Linked DNA regions of Drosophila melanogaster. The protein of the gene in region 3 interacts with the protein of the main gene of each other region in a pairwise test. Each region holds a gene or a part of one and is shown on either strand. Other genes may lie near its edges. The genes, in order: CG32369, Lipt1 and ClpX.

Region 1 (5,333 bases), on a different chromosome or scaffold from region 3:
GAGATAAGCTGTTAAAACTGTTGGGTGCAGTTGACATGTCGCTAAATAAAGCTGCCGGAAACTCAAGAACTGAAATGACGAACTTCAAGTTCGGATAAAATGCGCATTCTAAAACAATGTATACCATTCAACATTTAATCTGTGGAAAAACTTCCATGGATTCCAATCATAAGACAAATTCTCACTTCCACTTGGCAACAAACGAAACTCGCCCGACTTCAATTAACATTCACTAAAACAACGAAAAAAAATAAATAATTTGTTTGTCAGCTTCACACACCTATTTCAAATTCAGCTGAACCAAAGCCCAAATCGGTGATATACACTATTATGCAAAAAACATAATAAAGCAAAAAAAAAAAACTGAAACTAATTTCCTCATATATTGCTTACAAAATAAACATTTCAAACATGAAACTCGCAGCTAATTTCCGTTGATGAACAACAAAAGCAGCGCCAACTATTTGAGAAATGGGAGCTGTATAACCGGTACACAGTCAAAATTTAATTATATAATTGTACATGGTATTAAAATATATGGTACTACTAAAATAACGTTAATTGCTAAACAATTAAAGATTATTGAGATTCTACAACTCAGAAATTTGAAAATATATATTAGAATAAATTTTGTTAATTTTAATATGTTTTAATCTGTAAACTTTCAAGCTTTGTTTTTTTTTTGAATGCAGGCTTAAACCAGACCCAGACCTGAGGCAAAGCAATTCGATTACTTCCCTATGGGGAAATGTTGCAATAAATGCGAGCAATGCTCAAACATAAGCGGACTCCACTCGCCCGCCCCGCATATTTTTATACTGTCCAAGACTTACGAAAGCGAAAAATGAGTTAACAACAACGGCCACTCAAAATGTTAATGGAAACGCAGCAGCAGCAGCAGCAGCAGCAGCATGAAAACTGGTAGTATGCAGGCAACCGCTAACAGACAACGTTGAACTTGAGCTTGAAATACAAGCCAAGCGGAGCCAAAAGAGAAAGACGGGAAGTAGGGGGAGGGGAAGCGATACGCGGTTGTTATAAGCCAAGTTTGTCGACAACTGCATTTGTTGATCAACCCAAATGAGGTCAACGCGTCGTATACGTAATTTGCGTTAAATGACAAAACAATATGTAATAGCCACACAACACTTACGAAACGCAGATATTCGATATTACAGACGAACTTTAACAACTCTGAGCTCTATCGGGATAGGAAATCTATAGCTTCAAAACCTGTTTAAGGATTATAAAATTAATACATCTTGTAATGACATGTCTGAGAATTAATCAACTTATATTTTCACAGTTTAATCTATTGTGTATTTTGTTATACAAATTTCGTTATTAATTTTATAAGTTATTTGAGTAAGCTTTTATTCTATTTTACATAATCTAAAAACTATATTTGCGTATTAAACAAAATTACAAAATTTTATATATGTAATTTAGTTTAAGTAACAGAAAATCGACCGTATCTGTTGTGATTATTGATGTTTGCTTGGTGTTTATATGGCTGTAGTCTGTTGAGTGGCGCCGGAAATGCGCATCATACGATAAATGACGCCCACTGGCAAACTAGCACCCCCAACACCACCCACTATCCCCCAACCCAATAGTTTTGCAAATCACCCACCGCAGCCCCCGCTGCCCCATCATTTTTCTTGGCGTCGCCTGTTGTGACAGTTGACGGTTTGCCGGCAAAAATTAAAAAAAAAAATAAAATGCCAGAGAGAGAAGTGCTAAACAAAGAGAGCTCAAGGCACAGACATCGATGACGCAACAGACACATCCACGGAGGCGTAAGAGAGTCGACCCCAAAAGAGAGCGCCAATTTTTCGCTCCAAGCCAACGACTGACTTTTCACAGCAGTCATTCGCTGTTGAACAGCGGCCGTGGCAAGTTCAGACAGCAGGGAGAGTTTGAAAAAAAAAACCAGGCCGTAATACAAATACAAAAAGCAAAATAATAAAAATTATACAAAAAAAAAGTATGAATAATAAAAAAGGCAAATAAAAAAGCAACAAAGTGGAGCGCACCCCATAAGCAAATCATCGCCGAGCCACTCGAACACGTTGCCGCCGTTGCTGCTGTTGTCGCTATTTCTTTCGCCCAGTGCGTTCGCTCTCTCTCTTTCTGTCTCGTCGCGTAACGTAAGCGTATTACAAAACAAACGCCAACGTAATCAAAGAAATAAATAAAATAAAATAAAGGTGCTCGCTCGCGTGTTTCTCGGTGTGAATAAATGAAATAAATAAATTAGTCACAAAATATAAAAAGGGGGTCCAAGTGCAGCCCCCCCCAAATTGCCGCACACCCTTTACGAGAAAGAAAGAAAAAAAGTTAACCCGTGTGTGCGGCGGGGTTACGTAAAGCCGACGGACAAGCGCCGTTCCAAGTTCTTACAAAACAAAAAAAAAAATATATATAAATATCAAACAACACATAACACGAGTGAATAGATTCCCCAATTCGATTTTTTCGCACGCGTGTGGCTATAAATTTTTGGCAAACAAAAATATATACAACTAAATACAACAACAAAATTTTAAATAAATTGCAAGAAGAAGAGGGAGAATTTCGTGTGTTAGTGTGTGTGTCTGTGTGTGATTCTTGAGCAACAGTACACGCCGCACCCCCCGCGAAAAACCTACCCTTTTTTGGGGAAAAACAAGGAGGCGCGGTTCAACAGCGACAGGTAATTCCATTTCTGCGCTCTCTTTGCCACTCTTTCGGGTTCTCTTTGTGTGTGTTACGACATCAAACCACATGCTATGCCTCTGTTTTCAATGTGAATGAACGCTCGACAAAGTTGCGTTTTCAAAGATTGGCACATTCAAGTCTCTCTCTTAGTTTTTCGCTCTTTGTCGGGGAAAACAGTTTTTCATTTGCTATCTGCAATGATTGTGAAAACAAAAAGTGCACTGCTTGAGTCTAGCGGAGGGAAAACTGCAGGGGCGGCTCTTACGTGTTGCCATATTTTTAAAGGCATTACTAAGCGTTTTTTCCGCGCTGCTTTGTTGACGTTCTGTGGCCAATTGAATTCGGCCTGCACTTGATAATCATTTATATTTAATGTGTGATAAAACTTCCGTGGAAAAATATATATCTTAACGATTTCGCGATAAATTAGCTCAGATAAGCAAAAAACAAATGGTGGAAAGAACGATTTGGGAATTTTAAAAGAAGTAAAATTAAGAAAATAAACAATTCAACCTCGTTAAATTATAGTTGACACAAATTTTATATACAAAGTTAAAGTATATAAAATATAACTGGTAAAAAAAAACGTCAGTTTTTTTCATTTTCATTTCATTCATTTTCCTTGAATCTGTCGCGTTGTCATCGCTTTCGTAATTCTCTGGTTAACAGTTTCCAATCCCCGATAATCTACTAAAGATTCGCCAATTTGTCGGGGTCACCACCCAATATTCGTCAGCTACCAAAGCGAGAAACTGGGCTCCTTCCCTCTCCCCCCCTCGACCGCATATGCCCCTCTCACTCGGTTGACGTTTAGCGTTACGACACGCAATGTACTACGAGTATTATGCGACGTTTGCTGCCAATGAACAAGCCGCAACAACACAGTTCGCCCACTTGGCCCAAAACGAAAAACGCCAAAGGGGTTGGGGAAATGCTGAAAAAATATGGTTAGCTCGAAAAGAGGAAAAACCTATTTGCATACGTCATCGGGCGAAAAAGGTTCGTCATGACTCAGAGTCGAATATCGAGGAAGCCAGACTTCAAACAGCTGGATCGTTGTTATATAAACCAAGTCAAACACTACACCGAACTTATGTAAGGCCCAAAGGGACCGGGCCAATTAGTCACAGCGAATGTGGGGGTTCTTGTGTAATCGGTGTGAAATCAAAACCGAAAACCTGAAAAATCACAAACTATGTAGAAATTTTTGGTTGCTAATTGGCTTGCCTCAATAAATTCTTCAGCCCAGTTTCTTTTGTAGTTATTTTGAGCTATTTATATCAGCGTTTATCGCCGTCGTCATTGTCGTCCATTCGAATACAATGTCATAAAACGTGTGAGCCAAGCAAAAAACGGCAAGACAAATGAGAAACCAATAAAACAAATATCAAAGAAGAAATCAAAATGTACAAAACCAAATAAACGCCAACATTAAGGCAATGAAAATGTATGCGATTTCATAATTACGTCGAAAACTACCATCGGAGCATAATCACTTGGTTATGCAATTTATTGGCTTATGTGGCGTGATTACTTGGCGATTAAAGAACTCTATCAGAAGTTCTTGGGATTTTAGGAAATTGGTGAAAGACTTAAACAACTTTGTAGGAATTTCCACACCTGAGCTGTTGCTCATATCGTATTTGGGTACATGAATGTTCATGAAGATGAATCATTTGTTGACTCATTTTCATAAGATAGCAATTTCATAGTTGATACAGAACAACTGTCGTTTTCAATCAGTTCTTTACAAGCAAGCAAATAGTAATTATTTCAACAATCGCTCAATGAGTTTATCACATTTAGTGCTGTAAGTTCCTTTATCGACTTCAATCACTGCGCGCCTACAATCACTTATCGGACTTAAGGCAAACAATGCCTGAATTCAGTTGACTTAGAATACTGACAAACGCCGTTGTAAATGTAGCTATATACACATATTATATGTCAACGCTGCCATTTTGTCTGAGTGACGACGGACAACGGTTGTTTGTATCTACGATTGACATTGCATAATATTGTGAAAAATAAAGCAATCTACGCTATAAGCTATTGCCCTGAGGGCGTGTTCAGGTAGCCGGGCTTCACATATTTGTTATTCACTTAGGAACAATTTATCGGATACGGATTATGCAATAGGACTTTACGTACACGGAACTGCAACCACGATTGCACCAGGATGCACGTGCAGTTATATGAGGCGTATACATAATTTTTACTTACGCAAAGCCGAGCGGCAACAGGAACAATTAGAATCGAGTGCCTTCTGGCTTGTTTACCAACTTTTCCCTTGTCCAATACAATGTTTCACAATGCCAGCTGATATGAAAGTTGGAGCTCCCTATCTCAATCTCGTTCGTTACCTCTCTATTTATATATACTGCTTATATGGTTTCGTTTCCGAGGCGGAGATTGCGCTGTTTTGCTTAAAATGATCAGAAAGTGAGTTCTCTCGAGTGCTACAATATCGATATCAGTAAATTGCTTTCGAAAGGGAAATTTCTGCAGGGCGAATTCGTGAATTTCAAGTACAATATACAGGGAACTTAAATGTGAGTGAGGACTTAAGGTCACGTCGTGATCAGCTCCAACTGACTGAAACATTAAGTAGATATTATCCAATTAATTTCTAT
Region 2 (5,450 bases), on a different chromosome or scaffold from region 3:
AGCGGTGCCGGCGAGGAATCGCGCTTGGAGGTGGCCATTAAGATGCTTAGCGACGAGCACAGCAACAAACAGGAGTTCCTGCGCGAAGCATCAGTTATGATGCGGCTGGAGCACAAGTGCATTGTGCGATTGATTGGCATTGCGAAGGGTGAAATGCTAATGATGGTTCAAGAGCTAGCTCCGTTGGGCTCCATGCTGCAGTACATACTGGATCATGGTCATGAGATCACGGCCAATGCGGAGCTGAAAGTTTGGGCGTCACAGATTGCGTGTGGTAAGTCAAATTCAAGACAATTTGATTCAATTCAATTAATTAATTAATGTTTGTACCAGGCATGCATTATCTGGAATCACAGCATTTTGTACACCGCGATCTGGCCGCCAGAAATATATTGCTGACCGCACGCCACCAGGCGAAGATCAGTGACTTCGGCATGTCGCGATCACTGAGACCCGGTAGCACGGAATACCAATTCACCCAGGGCGGACGTTGGCCCATCCGCTGGTACGCACCGGAAAGCTTCAACCTGGGCATCTTCTCGCACGCCAGTGATGTGTGGTCCTTTGGCGTGACCATCTGGGAGATGTTTTCCCTCGGCGCACCGCCATATGGGGAAATATCTAATGTCGATGCCATCAAGTTGGTGGACAGTGGCGAACGCCTGCCGCAGCCCAATCTCTGTCCAGCTTACATCTATGCCGTGATGCAGAGCTGCTGGAAGGAACGACCCAAAGATCGGCCAACCTTTGTCTATCTCACCGAGTTTTTCGCCCGCGATCCTGATTACCAAAACCTGCCGGAATTGGTGCAAACGGTTCACATTTAAGCCAGTTTCCATTTTCCATTTTTTCCGTTCTGAGTGCAATTTTCTGTAGCTATTTATGCAATGTCTTCTATTTCGTTTTCAACGTATTAACGATCTGGAACCCACAGATCACTATTGTTGTTCCGTATCCTAGTATTCATGTTTATAGCTTGTAATATATTTTTTAATCATATGTACAACCAATTTGTGTCAAAAGAAAGCGAACAAGTGCCTTAAAGATTTAGCATATAAGCTTTGTATTCATTTTTACAAATCCATTTTGTTTCATTGGTTATACAAAATAAAAACTATTTTTATACATACTGCGCTTTTTGATTTAGTATTAAATAATACAGCAGTATGCTTTAATAATCAATGTTTAAACATTTAATGCAGTTCTTTTATATAAAACGTGGTAACAAAAGTAAATAGTTTGTTGGTAAACCGCTTAAATACTAGGTTAGTAATATGGTTTCTTGGAAAGATTATAACTACGTTAGCGTGGTTAGTGCTCTAGAAATGGATTATATATTTTTTTGTTAATTTTTTCGAGCTAGCACAACAGTAATCAAGCTGATCCGTTTATTGCCTGCTTCACATTCGATGCGCTGACGAGCTTAAGGGCGCCAAGTATTCCGTTCAGGTTCTCCTCGTTGTAGGGCTTGCCCTGGAGCGGAGTCACCACCGGGACGAGCTGATCGCTCTGCGGCAGCTGGATGCCGATCTCCTTCATTAATCCCTACAAATTTAGTAAAATCATAAGTGATAATTCTCTAAAACAGGGCAAAACAAATCTTACCGCTTCCACTTCCACGCTTAGTTTCAGTTTCATGTCCTGCTCATCGCCCTTCACCTCCAGTTCCTTCTGCACGGTGAACTTGGGAGTCTTGCCGATGACCCAGTCCCAAGAGCTGTAGTTGGAGCGCAATTCCTCAATGCCGGGGAACCATTTCTCTGTGGGATTGACCAGCTGAAAGCCGCGCTGCTGCATCGTCTGTGTGCTGCCGCCGTCTTCAAGCGTAGTTGCAGCCGTTCTCAAATACTCGTAACCCACGGCGGAACGCAGCTGAGCAACGTTCACCGTGCGATTGACATCAACCAGGTTGCGAATGGGCGACGGCACCGAAGCCGTGGCCTTGCTAATATAATTGGCCGGCTCCCGCACCAGAGATTCGCCCAAGTGCAATTTGTTGGCGCTGGCCAAAATGGTGCAGTGATGGTACGAGTTCGGGTGTCCCAGCTTGGCCGCAGTGCCGGAAATCTGTAATTGAACAAGGGCATACTCGTTGAGTGGGCAAATAAAGACCAGATGCACAGCCCCAGCTGTTGGTTAAGTGAGCTGATGCCAATGTGAGGGATCAGCCGGGGTCGCATCATTCCTTGATAAGAGCCACCGCTCCTCCTCACCTTCTTATTCATCACTACAATGTCGTCGCGCTCATTTATCTCTGCCTTGATGGCCCATTCGCGGAACAAGGCCCTGGTCACGATGTTCAGGTTGTACTTGCGATCGTAGCGCTCTCTGGGCGAGAAAAAGGTGCAGTTGAGGTTCCCAAGATCATGGTACACCGCTCCACCGCCACTATTGCGGCGTGCAAGTGTTATGCCGCGTTCCACCAGCTGCGAAACATTAGCCTCGGTGAAGGGATTCTGGTGGCGACCAATGACTACGCACGGGTCGTTGGCCCACAGCAGCAGCACATGGTGGCGGCTGAAATCAAAGTTTTTGTACAGCCAATCCTCTAGAGCGAGGTTGGTGAACACATCGCTGGACTGCGAGATGAACACGGACTTCTTGATCTCCGAATCGGGAACCACGGGCGGTGGCTGGCGCCTCTGCTTTTTAATCTCCTGCTGTCCAGCAGATGGTGGCTCCACTCCGCTGGATGCCAGGCGCGTGGCCTGAGCGGCGGAGGAGAGAAGTAGCCGCAGCTGGCTGGAATTGCGTCGCAACAGCATGCTCATGGCTTACACAAGGAAGTGGGGCGTACGGGTGTGTGTGATTTCTGTTGCCAGGTGATCTGGGACACAATGCACTTGCAAGCGAAACAAGGTCAATGGTGTCGAAAAAAGCTTTTGGCTGGTTGATTGGTTGGTTGGTTGGTTGGTTTCTACGGTTGTCGTCTGCCTGGTTCTGTGTGGTCCGTGTGTGCTCTTCTTTAGGTTATGTATGGTCTACTATCTACGCTATTCGTTTTGGTCTTTAAATGGCTTTGGTCGCTCTGGACTTTAGACTGTGGCGTTCTTAGTGGCTCGGGATGTGTTTGCAGCCACGGAGCTGGCCGAGATGAGGTATTCGTGCAGGGCGGGCGTCTGATGCAGCCACTTCCACGTTTGATGCAGACCACAGACACGCTTACGGAGACCCAGGCAGTCCTTGTTGGCACAGTTCACTGGCATACTACGCCTCACACCCATCCAGGTGGGGGATACAACGAATCCGGTGTTTACGGGGGGCCGCAACGTTACGGGGCCCAAATAAGATGGCTAAAGGGTTTCCTTTTTAGCTGACACCAAAATTTTCCACTCTTTGTTCGCGGCGCACGGGAACTGCGGGGGGCGGGGGCAAGGCGGATGATCGCAGTGGGCGGGGGTAGCAGTTATAGCACAAACAAACGAACGAACACAGAGCCGATCGAAAAGCAGCTGCGCGTGTGGAAATATCACGACCGATTGGCTTTCGTTTCAGATGAGCAGTGGTGCTCGCTGCTCTTGTTCTTCCTCGACGGTCCCCAAATGCCATTCGCAGCGAACGACGAAAGCTCCGGTCATTAAAAAAAAAAAAAAACAACGGCACTCTGGCGCCGCACTTAATTTATTTTCATCTTTTTAATTCGAACTTGTATAATTTACGCTAAACATGTGTGATAATCCGAGACGTCTACAACAGATGTGACATTAATATGTGTTATATTTTATAAGCAGCATACTTTGAGAGCCCCTTCAGTTTGGAATACCCCCATTATTAATGTAAGCCGCCTCTTCGGGATCAATTGGCTTGCGGGCAAATCGTGCCGGCAGCTCGTAGTCCTCAATTGCTGGTCCACCGGCCAACTAAATGTAGAAGGGACAATTACGAAGATTAGTTATGATGCACAGAAGAAGCCGTGGTATTGTGTATAAATGAAATGGGCTGGGTTAACCTTTTTGCCTCCTGCGGCCTGGGAACTTGCCTTCTGGTTTGCTGTCTGGGCGCCCGGCACTCCTGCACCACCCTTGCGGAAGTGTATGAGCGGTACGCGCTTAGCCAGCGCAACTAGTGTTGGTCGAACCATAGCAACAGCAATTGAATTTCTACCAAAAAGCCAAGGCAAAAGTAAAAGTTACGTGAATAACAGCTGACTGTAAACTCATACAAGCGCTGCCAGATCGTTAAAATTGCATGCCATTCGCCGCGCAATGGATTATTATCGTTATTGAAATTTACGTGATCCTGTGAATGGCTAAGGCAGATAAGAGGAAGCGCAAAAAACTATTTTGGTCCAAATCGGTAATATTTTTATATTTAAAATGAATTGGGGACAGAAGATAACCGGCAGCCGACGGCCCTAACTTCTGGACGGACATCGCCAGTATATGGATTGCTCCTAAAACTAGCAAACCAACGTACTTATGCTCTATGCAACAATAAATGTCATATGAAAACAAACTATTGAAGACGTTTTTATGAGTATAACCGGTAACTATTTCATTTGTTTATTATATTAATGACAAATAAACTTATACGTAAACATTCCTTTGATAGATTTTCATGTGTATATCCTTCTCTGTGCAGAAAAACGAAATTAAAGTAACATCTCGGATACTTTCGCAGCAATTGTATAAGCCATACAAATATGAACGCTGCTGGAGGAGGTAGTGGTGCCCAGGCGGCCGCAGTGGCGGCAGGCAACAACAGTCTCAGCCACAATGCGCTACTTTCCACGGCCTCAGGAGCCACCACCATGCCTATGGCCCAACTGGCAGACGGTTGGTTGGAGCTGGAGTCCGACCCAGGTCTCTTCACACTGCTTCTCAAGGATTTTGGATGTAATCTATTTGAATATGCCTTGTTCCACACATCCTATTAAAATATGTACTATCCTTAGGTCACGATGTACAGGTGGAGGAGGTGTACGACCTACAGAAACCCATCGAGAGTCCATATGGCTTCATATTTCTCTTCCGCTGGATCGAAGAGCGACGCGCCAGACGCAAAATTGTGGAGACAACTGCTGAGATATTCGTCAAGGATGAGGAGGCCATTTCCAGCATTTTCTTCGCCCAGCAGGTAGTCCCCAATAGCTGTGCCACACACGCGTTGCTTTCGGTGCTCCTGAACTGCAACGAGAACAATCTTCAGCTGGGCGACACCCTGAGTCGACTAAAAACCCACACCAAAGGCATGAGTCCGGAGAACAAGGGGCTGGCTATTGGCAACACTCCGGAGCTGGCCTGTGCCCATAACTCACACGCAATGCCGCAGGCTCGGCGCCGTCTAGAAAGGACGGGAGCGGGCGTCTCAAGTTGCCGCTTCACGGGTGAGGCGTTTCACTTCGTTAGCTTTGTGCCTATCAATGGACAACTGTTTGAGCTGGATGGCTTGAAACCGTATCCCATGAATCACGGCGGTTGGGAGGATAGCGAGGATTGGACAGATAAGTT
Region 3 (8,575 bases):
GCGGCATGTCCTTGGGCAGCTCCTTGGCGGACTCGTCCAGAGCCTGGGCAATCTTGTAGTGACTGTTCTTCTTGGTCCGCTTGTCCTGCTCCTCGCTGCTCCCGCTTCCACTTCCGCCTCCGCCGCTCAGCGCCGGCAGCTTGCGGACGATCTTCTCGATGGTGTCCCGGTATCTGTCCACCTGCCGCTCGATCGCCTCCAGCTCCGAGTCCTTGCTGTCCGACTTGCTCGATCTGCGAATGCGAAAAGGACCATTTTGACACGGGTTTAGCACGGGTTAGGTCATCATCGGCAGTCCACTATTGTTACGGCTGTCATCGCGCTTTGTTATTGATGCAGTTGCTCTGTGGCTGCTTCTCTGCTGCTTTTGTTGTTGTTGCTGCTGCTGCTGTTGCTTCTTTCGTGATGAGGCAACACACACCTGTCTGTCCACCTGGAGCGCACTTACACAAACACACACCCACAGACATCCGACCGACAGACTGGCTGGCCTTTGAACTTACCTTGACAGATTTTCGGCTGCTATTTTGATTTTGGCAAACTGCCTCTTCATCTTGGCTGATTCGCTGGTGCCGCTCGCGTCTCCAACTTGAACTGAACTGCTGTGTGTTTGTTTGCGATGTGCAATTAGCTGGGCATTGAGTAAATACTTAAAACAGGCAAATTAGTCATTCTTCAACGATGTTTTACGGAAAAGTGAGGCGGGTGTGACCGCAGCGGGAGCGCTGGGAAATGACAAAAGGCTGGAGAGCGCCTTTTTCGAAAGTTCGTATTTGGTAACACTGTTTGATAAATGCCTGTTGAGATTTCTCAGAGCTTAGGCTAGAATTATGAATTTAAGCAATGGTTAATTAATGTTTATTAAATTTCAATCTCCTTTAATCTGAAACCATTGCTTAAATTCGCTGAATAGGGGAATACCCCTTACTACTTGTAGCGGTACCAGACATTTGCGCTAGGGTAACCACTGTCGAAAACACCCGAATTCTGTGGGGTCACACTGAACTCGACCGCCTTGCTTAGCTGCACGTGTGCGTGCGTAAATAATAGTTTTATTGTTATTTTACTCTCGAAAATGACCCAGGCGGAGATCGTGAAATGTCTGCGGGAGGAGTATGAAATCGAACACAACAAGGATCAGAAGCCGGAGAAGGAGGACCTGCCCGCCATCACCAAAAAGTTCTATCAGCGAGTCTTGGAACTGCTGACCATTCACAAAGTGCCCTACTCCAAACAAGAAGGTGAAACCATTAATGAAAAGCCTTAAATCTTTAACTTTATCGTATTTCCTACAGATGAGGAGACCTACGAAGAGTACCTGCTGTCGGACACGGAGGAATCGGGAAACAAGAAAAAGAAACAACAGGGAAAACTGAAAAACCAAGACTCCGACGACGAGGATGTAGAGGCACGCATTGCCTCCATCAAGAACAAGCTGCGCCAGAAAAAGGGACCCACAACGGAGCGACAGCAGAAGCGACGCGAATCTAAAAAGCTTAAACGCAGCAAGGGCGTCCAGAAACTGCTCCTCTCCTCGGCCAAAAACCTCAAAAACGAGAACGTCAAGCACCAGAAACTGAAGAATGGCGTGGTGAAATCAGAACAGGAGACGGAGGACAGCAAGGAACAGATCCAGCCGGTCAAGGTGCAACCGGTTTACAACCAGGAGGCCAAGATCGTCTACTCCAAGGTGGACTTTGCCGCCAATCCTGGAGGCAAAGCCAAGAAGTCTCACCAAAACCCCAAGGAGATTCTGAAGAAGCTGCGCGACACCAAGAAGCACCTAACCGAACTGCGCGAACAGGGCGAAACGGACAAGGCGGCGGAGATCCAGACGGACATCGCCTGGCGCAACGCATTCGACAAGGTCGAGGGCAAGAAGGTCAAGGACGACACCAAGCTGCTGCAAAAGGCCATCAAGAAGCGGCGCGTGGAGAAGAAGAAGTCCAAGACCAAGTGGACTGAACGCAAGCAGAAGGTGGAGCACGACAAGGAAAAGAGGCAAAAGAAGCGACAGGAGAACCTGGAGAAGCGCAGCAAGGACAAGAAGAACCGGAAACTAAAGACGGCCAGCAAGAGGGGTCGCATCATACCCGGCTATTAACTATGCTTACTATAGCCCTTAAGTGTAAAGTAGTGTAAATGTATGCCACGTTGAAATTCAACTCAGAATGCTTTAGAAAAAAAGTGATCTTTCTGAAATTTACGTTTTTATACTTTCGTGTTAGAAATTTACTTTTCCGGCCTCGACACAGTCAAAATTCCAGTAGACAGCTAAATTCCCAGTTCCAAGCCACACTATTTGGCTCCTCGTTTTTGTCCACTTTGTGTCACTTTGTGTTCCACTGTGCGTTGCGCGGCTTCACCAAAGATTGGCAAGAAGAAGAACGGCGAACAGCTGAGACCGATAACAACAATCGATTGATATCGTAATCGTTTAGTTGGATTGCTGCGATTTTTCCAGATTTTCCGAGTACTTACAAGAGACAAAAAGTGGATCAGATAATGCTGGAGACCCTAGAAATTTGTGGATCTTTTAATACAGTATAGTGACCGATTTGGCAAGAAGAAGCAGAGCGAGTGGGGCAGCCAAAACAACGAGAATCACACGCACGCACACAGCCACAAAAATTACGTGCAGAGCGCAATCTATTCCCCCCATTTTCCACCGAAAATACAGCAAGGCAGGCGGAAAATCATCCAAATTGCGACGCACTTTGGCGAGCGACGGATAACCAACAAGTGGATATAGAAAAGCAATCCCTGCAAAGCGAGGCATCCCCAGCAGAAGTCACAACAATAACTTTGCAGATCAGCAGAGCAAGAAGAAGAAGCGGCCGCCAGCTGAGTAGCAAATCGGTGCAAAGCAGGGGCGCAGGGGAATCCGAGTCCAGGAGCAACTGCAGCGGGCGCGGAGGAAGCGGTAGACGGAACAGAGGCACAGAGGCGGCGGGCAGCAGCCACCATGAGCATGGTGCGGCGGATTATCCTGCTGGGCCCCAAATACAGTGTGTGGGCAAAGGGTAAGTGCTGTGCCGTCTTGTTGTTGTGCTGCCAATCGCATACGTAACTGCGTCATTAGCCGTGAATCGACAACAACTGGCAATGGCAACTAAAAAACAGCCTGCAGTTTACCAATCTGCATCGTAATCCCAACGCTCCCCCCGCCATTTGGCTTATCAGAATTTTCTAGCTTCGGTGCTCGCTGACACTTGTCTAGTGTCAAACAACCAAAACACTGAATGAAGGTCGTCTTCTTTTGATACCAAAAAGCTGCTGCTCGCGGTCAACGGGCCACAGTGGCGTCGCTGAAAAGGGGTTTCACCCAACTGATTTTACATTCACGCACTCACACGCATCTGATTGGAGGCCACCCCCCTTGCCGTTTCCAATCAGACAAGCGTGGCTCTTGGACCAACTGAACTTGAATTGTTTTATAAGGCCCGAATGGCCAGTTAGCGCAATTACTGCTATTGCCGCTCTGACGCAATGATTTTTTGTTTTATCATTACATGTCTGCAGTGGAGCAATTTCTTACACTTTTTTAATGGCCCACAGTTGGTTATTATATTTGCTGGCCTGCAAGTTAGGAAAGCGAGAGCCGGAAGTTTACCCAACACATTTCACTGAAAAAAACTAGCCGAGATTGTTTTCTACTGTCAAATTCACAGCACCTGTGAATTCCGAGATTAGCCATTATCAATTCCCTGCTTGATTGGCACTACTGCGAAAAAAAGGTGCGAGTCATCTGCGATATCGGAAGATGCTAATTGCCCTTGGCCTCCACTTGTTAGTTTGTTTTTGTGGGCCAATCTAGAGACTCTGTTCCCCGGATTCCCTTTGTTGTTATCAATTGCCTGTGCTTCGGAAAGCATTAACCCCACACATGGGGTCGATGCTTCCATTTTGTCTGCTTTGTGCACGAGACACAATTTAAATCTTTAGAATCCATGCACAGTGGCTAAAGGTCTCAGATGACTTCCAATTTTTATTTAAATTTGTATGCCATTAAAAACAGTTTCCAATACTTATACATGTACTTTCCATATCCAGGAAGCGGAGCTGGTCAAACACATGGCTCGGCAAGATGCGTTATCCTAAGCGCAGGTTCTGCGGAGAACAGCGACTGTGGCGTACGACGCTTTCACCTGGCAACGCGGAACTGCGCGAGGAATCGACTGATGAGACTGGAGCCCGCGATGGCAATACCGGCGTATATTGATGTAACTAACGCACACTCAAGAACGCCAGAGGACTCCAGCGAGAGTGGGAGCGGCAGCGAAGGGGGAGCCAGTGCGTCGGGAGGTAGTGGAGCGAAGAGCCCCGGCGGTGCGGCTGGGTCTGGAGCAAGTTCGACCAGTGGTGCCGATCCGCCAGGCGGTGGCAGTGACAAGTTCCTCTCGTGCCCAAAGTGCGGCAGCGCCTGCACCCAGGTTGAGACCTTTGTCAGCTCGACGCGGTTCGTTAAGTGCGCCAAGTGCAACTACTTCTTCGTGGTGCTCTCGGAGGTGGAGACTAAGCAGCGCACCAAGGACGAGCCCAAAAACCAGCGCAAGCCGCCACCTCCGCCACAGAAAATCATGGAGTATCTGGACAAACACGTGGTGGGCCAAGATTTTGCCAAAAAGGTGCTGGCGGTGGCCGTCTACAATCATTATAAGCGCATCCATCACAATCTGCCGCAACTGCAAAACCAGGGAGCGGGTGCCAGCAATGGAGCCGGTGGCGGCCTAGATGGTATTCCTCGGCCCGATCTTCTACACATCACCGGTATTGGTCACACGCTGAACAGCTCCCCGGGCAACGAACTGCCACCAAAGTCGCCGACTCAAATGGGCATGGGCGGAGGAATGGGAGGACCTGGACTTGGAGCAGGACTAACCGGCGCATCATCTAGCAATGCGCGTGGAGGTGGCGACAACCGGTCCGGATCAGAAATACTTGACCGCCAGTCCACCGATGTCAAACTGGAGAAGAGTAACATTATCATGTTGGGCCCCACGGGATCCGGTAAGACGCTGATCGCCCAGACGATCGCCAAGTGCCTGGATGTGCCCTTCGCCATTTGCGACTGCACCACGTTAACACAGGCGGGCTATGTGGGCGAGGACATCGAAAGCGTAATTTCAAAGCTTCTGCAAGATGCCAACTACAATGTAGAGCGCGCACAGACGGGCATTGTTTTCCTCGACGAGGTGGACAAAATCGGTGCCGTCCCCGGAATCCATCAGCTTCGTGACGTTGGCGGCGAGGGCGTCCAGCAAGGCATGCTGAAAATGCTCGAAGGCACAGTGGTCAACGTGCCGGAGCGTAACTCCCCGCGAAAGCTGCGTGGCGAAACGGTCCAGGTGGACACCACAAATATCCTTTTCGTGGCCTCTGGTGCCTACACAGGACTGGACAGGCTTATCGCACGTCGTCTCAACGAAAAGGTAAGTTAGCGATAGTTACTCAGACTTCGCTTACTAATTGCATCTTAATGCTTCAAGTATTTGGGTTTCGGCATGCCATCGACCAGCGGATCTGGCCGTCGTGCAGCTCAATCAGCCGCCAGTCCCATGGACAACGACCAGGAAGAGCGTGATAAATGCCTGACCAAAGTGCAGGCCCGTGATCTCGTTGAGTTCGGCATGATACCGGTAAGTAATCGGAGGTTCAAATATAACTCCGTAGACATACATTGTAACTATTAACATAATTATAAGCTAGCAGATTTTATTATATTAGTTACTCATTTTGATTATTTTAAAACCCAAATTGTTGTGCAGGAATTCGTTGGACGTTTCCCGGTTATCGTTCCCTTCCACAGTTTGAACGTTAGCATGCTGGTGCGCATCCTAACCGAGCCGCGAAACGCTCTAGTGCCGCAATATAAGGCACTGTTGGGTCTTGATGAGGTGGACCTTACGTTCACCGAGGATGCTGTGAAGTCGATAGCCCAGCTTGCAATGGAAAGGCACACTGGAGCTCGTGGACTGCGCTCTATAATGGTAAGATATTGAATTTGTGAGACACATATGGCATATACCTAAAACATGTTTATAATCCCATCCAGGAACAACTGCTGCTGGATCCCATGTTCATAGTGCCTGGTTCAGACATTCGGGGTGTTCACATAACCGCCGACTATGTTAAAGGCAGCGCCACCCCCGAGTACAGCCGCGATGCAGACGCCGCGGCATCTGGGACTGTTGCCACGGATTCCGATACCACAACCGATAATGATAAGAACTTTGAGAATAGTGAGAAAGTACGACTAAAACAGTAAATCAAACAGAGATACCCACATCCAAAGCCAACCAAAACAGAAATCGAGACAACACTTGAACAAAAGAGAAAACTTTCAATTCGCAACGCTTTCCGAATTGCTTGTTCTTTGCAAACTCTTTTGTCTTCTATCCACTACTGTTCAGCTTGTTAAACTCGTCCAGCTGCTTAATTTCGAATCGTCAGCGCTAATTTCTCGCATAAACACAATTTAATGTTGAACCCTTATGATACTTTCATTTGCCCACTCTAACATGTATATTTTTTAGTCTGGTTTGAATGGTAAATTGATTGGTGCGTCGTAGATCCCTACCTCGAACCTATCACTCTGTAAAATATGAACCGCTGAGGAGTGTATACATTTATAAAGAATGTCCTCAATCCCCAAATGCATCTGTGATTCATAAACGACGAGCAGCGCAGTCTTTTGAGCCCGAAGCAATTGTAAGTGGAACAACAAATCCTAAAGGGATATTTAAATAAATGCCACAGTTTCTTAAACATTATATTACACAAATATCGGAAATCTGCAATGTTGGCAATGATGTGGTCCATTGGCGCTAGGAACCTCTTTTGCATATAACAATTATATATACAAACGTAAACGTATATTTAGGCAAATTTTTGCATAGTCTAAATTGAGTTTCTAAATGAGTTCTTGTAGCGTTGTAAAGATGACAAGCGAGAAGCACGTTCTACCTTTAACTAATTTAAGTTGAAAAAAACATTTTTAAAACAAAAAACAAATAAAAAAAAATGAAAAAATTTAAAGCTGGATGCTAATTTTCTTGAGAAATCGATATGCTTTTTGTACGCCAAGGGTTACTAATGTAAATAACATGGCAAATTTAAATTTTTAGTTTTCGTTCATTTTATTTTATTCATCATTCAAATTCAACTAAGTCTGCAGAACTCATAATAAATAATTTGAATTTATTGCACATAATGGACTAATGGTAGTTCCTTCTTTTTGTTTGTTTTTACGTTTCCTTTTCATCTCGTAGTATATAAATTTGTATAAAAATTTGTAAGTTAATAAATATCTTTTGGCGACCCTTAATCGTTTTCCTCGGATATGAGCAGTTCGTATTCCTGTGCCGCAAACCGATCCCAATCGGAGGTCTGCGAAATAGATAATAACATAATTAATAATTATATTAATTAATTATTCTAAGTACCACTTACATATTCGTCACGCTGTGAGGCAAACGGATCTCGTTGTTCGTGATCTAGATACTTCTCCAGATTGAAGAAGGTATCGAAGAAGACGTGCGTCATTTTGCATCGTTTCAAATCGCCCAGCGTGATACAGTCCCGATTTGCTGGCTTGATCATATCTAGCATCTAATATAAAAAAATTAGATTATCTTCCTTCAATCGGAATTGAATATCCGATCCTCACCTGGCACAGGCAGTCCTCGAAAGGCAGGCACTCAATGCCGATTCCCTCCATCCTTTGCTGCTGCTCCTCGTAGAAGTATTCCAGTTCGTACATGGACAGCACTCCATCTCCGTCGACGTCCATACATCTAAACCAGTACTCGATGGCCGTCGGCGTCCGTTTGTCCTCCTCCGAGAGGATGAACCACACAAAGTCCGTGTAGGACATCTTGGCTTCATCTTCCGGCGCCTTTTTGTTATCGCTGCGCGTTACACATCCCGAGAAGATTCGCTCCACGATGCGCGATGACAGGGCATGATCGCTGTGCTTGGCCAGATCCTCCTGGTTGATCAGCAGGTCGTGGTCCTTGTCCAGTTCCCAAAACTTGCAGTAAATCACGTAGAAGTGCTCGTAGCTAAAGAAGGCCATTATCTGATTGATGTCCTCTTCTTCCTCCAGCAGACTGATCATCTGTGGGCGGGTTTCCAAATGTACATTATGTATTTCACAACAACATTGTTATATTTATATTTTTCAGATATATCATTGATATACTTTTCTCACCTCCAGCAGATCGGATCGTTTTAGTTCGGCTATTGTGATCTTGCCGCTCCAACTGCGGTTTACCGAATAGAAAATGCGCGCGATGACTGTGTGCACGTATCTGGAATGGAACTCGGTGGCTTCCTTGAGAAAGGCCAGGCCGGGGTGTGTGTCGACCACATCCTGCACCATGGGCACCAGGTCCTCGGGCACGATGTACGAACGGAATCTCTGGCCACGCGACAGAATGTACACGAATCTCGAGGCCGCCTCATGGCAATAAACATTCATTCTGCAATTTAAACGGGGTTTCATTTAAATATATGTGCATATATACTAAAAGGTAAGGTATAGAAGGATTTACAAAATACAATATAGGCAATA

What was found.
Region 1: the proteins of ClpX (region 3) and CG32369 interact in a two-hybrid assay, tested with the Drosophila melanogaster proteins (one large-scale study listed by BioGRID).
Region 2: the proteins of ClpX (region 3) and Lipt1 interact in a two-hybrid assay, tested with the Drosophila melanogaster proteins (one large-scale study listed by BioGRID).

Annotation. Positions count from the first base shown.
Region 1 is NT_037436.4:7,806,359-7,811,691, reverse strand, and holds the start of CG32369 (uncharacterized protein), read left to right. Parts: upstream 1-1,866; 5' UTR 1,867-2,695; intron 2,696-5,333.
Region 2 is NT_033778.4:16,195,102-16,200,551, reverse strand, and holds Lipt1 (lipoyltransferase 1), read right to left. Parts: upstream 3,511-5,450; 5' UTR 3,225-3,510; coding exon of another isoform or gene 3,036-3,224; 5' UTR 2,772-3,035; coding exon 2,214-2,771; intron 2,068-2,213; coding exon 1,606-2,067; intron 1,546-1,605; coding exon 1,375-1,545; 3' UTR 1,174-1,374; downstream 1-1,173. Other genes in the region: Shark (SH2 ankyrin repeat kinase), read left to right, coding at 1-274, 334-827; CG42837 (uncharacterized protein), read right to left, coding at 3,036-3,224; CG44242 (uncharacterized protein), read right to left, coding at 3,750-3,860, 3,950-4,081; caly (calypso), read left to right, coding at 4,643-4,835, 4,895-5,450.
Region 3 is NT_033777.3:19,897,289-19,905,863, reverse strand, and holds ClpX (caseinolytic protease chaperone subunit), read left to right. Parts: upstream 1-2,174; 5' UTR 2,175-2,965; coding exon 2,966-3,023; intron 3,024-4,053; coding exon 4,054-5,432; intron 5,433-5,489; coding exon 5,490-5,639; intron 5,640-5,768; coding exon 5,769-5,990; intron 5,991-6,055; coding exon 6,056-6,250; coding exon of another isoform or gene 6,251-6,268; exon of another isoform or gene 6,269-6,536; coding exon 6,537-6,572; 3' UTR 6,573-6,711; exon of another isoform or gene 6,712-7,323; coding exon of another isoform or gene 7,324-7,389; intron 7,390-7,452; coding exon of another isoform or gene 7,453-7,611; intron 7,612-7,669; coding exon of another isoform or gene 7,670-8,119; intron 8,120-8,212; coding exon of another isoform or gene 8,213-8,483; 3' UTR 8,484-8,492; downstream 8,493-8,575. Other genes in the region: RhoGAP92B (Rho GTPase activating protein at 92B), read right to left, coding at 1-233, 504-553; Surf6 (surfeit 6), read left to right, coding at 1,076-1,241, 1,296-2,104; CG4733 (uncharacterized protein), read right to left, coding at 7,324-7,389, 7,453-7,611, 7,670-8,119, 8,213-8,483.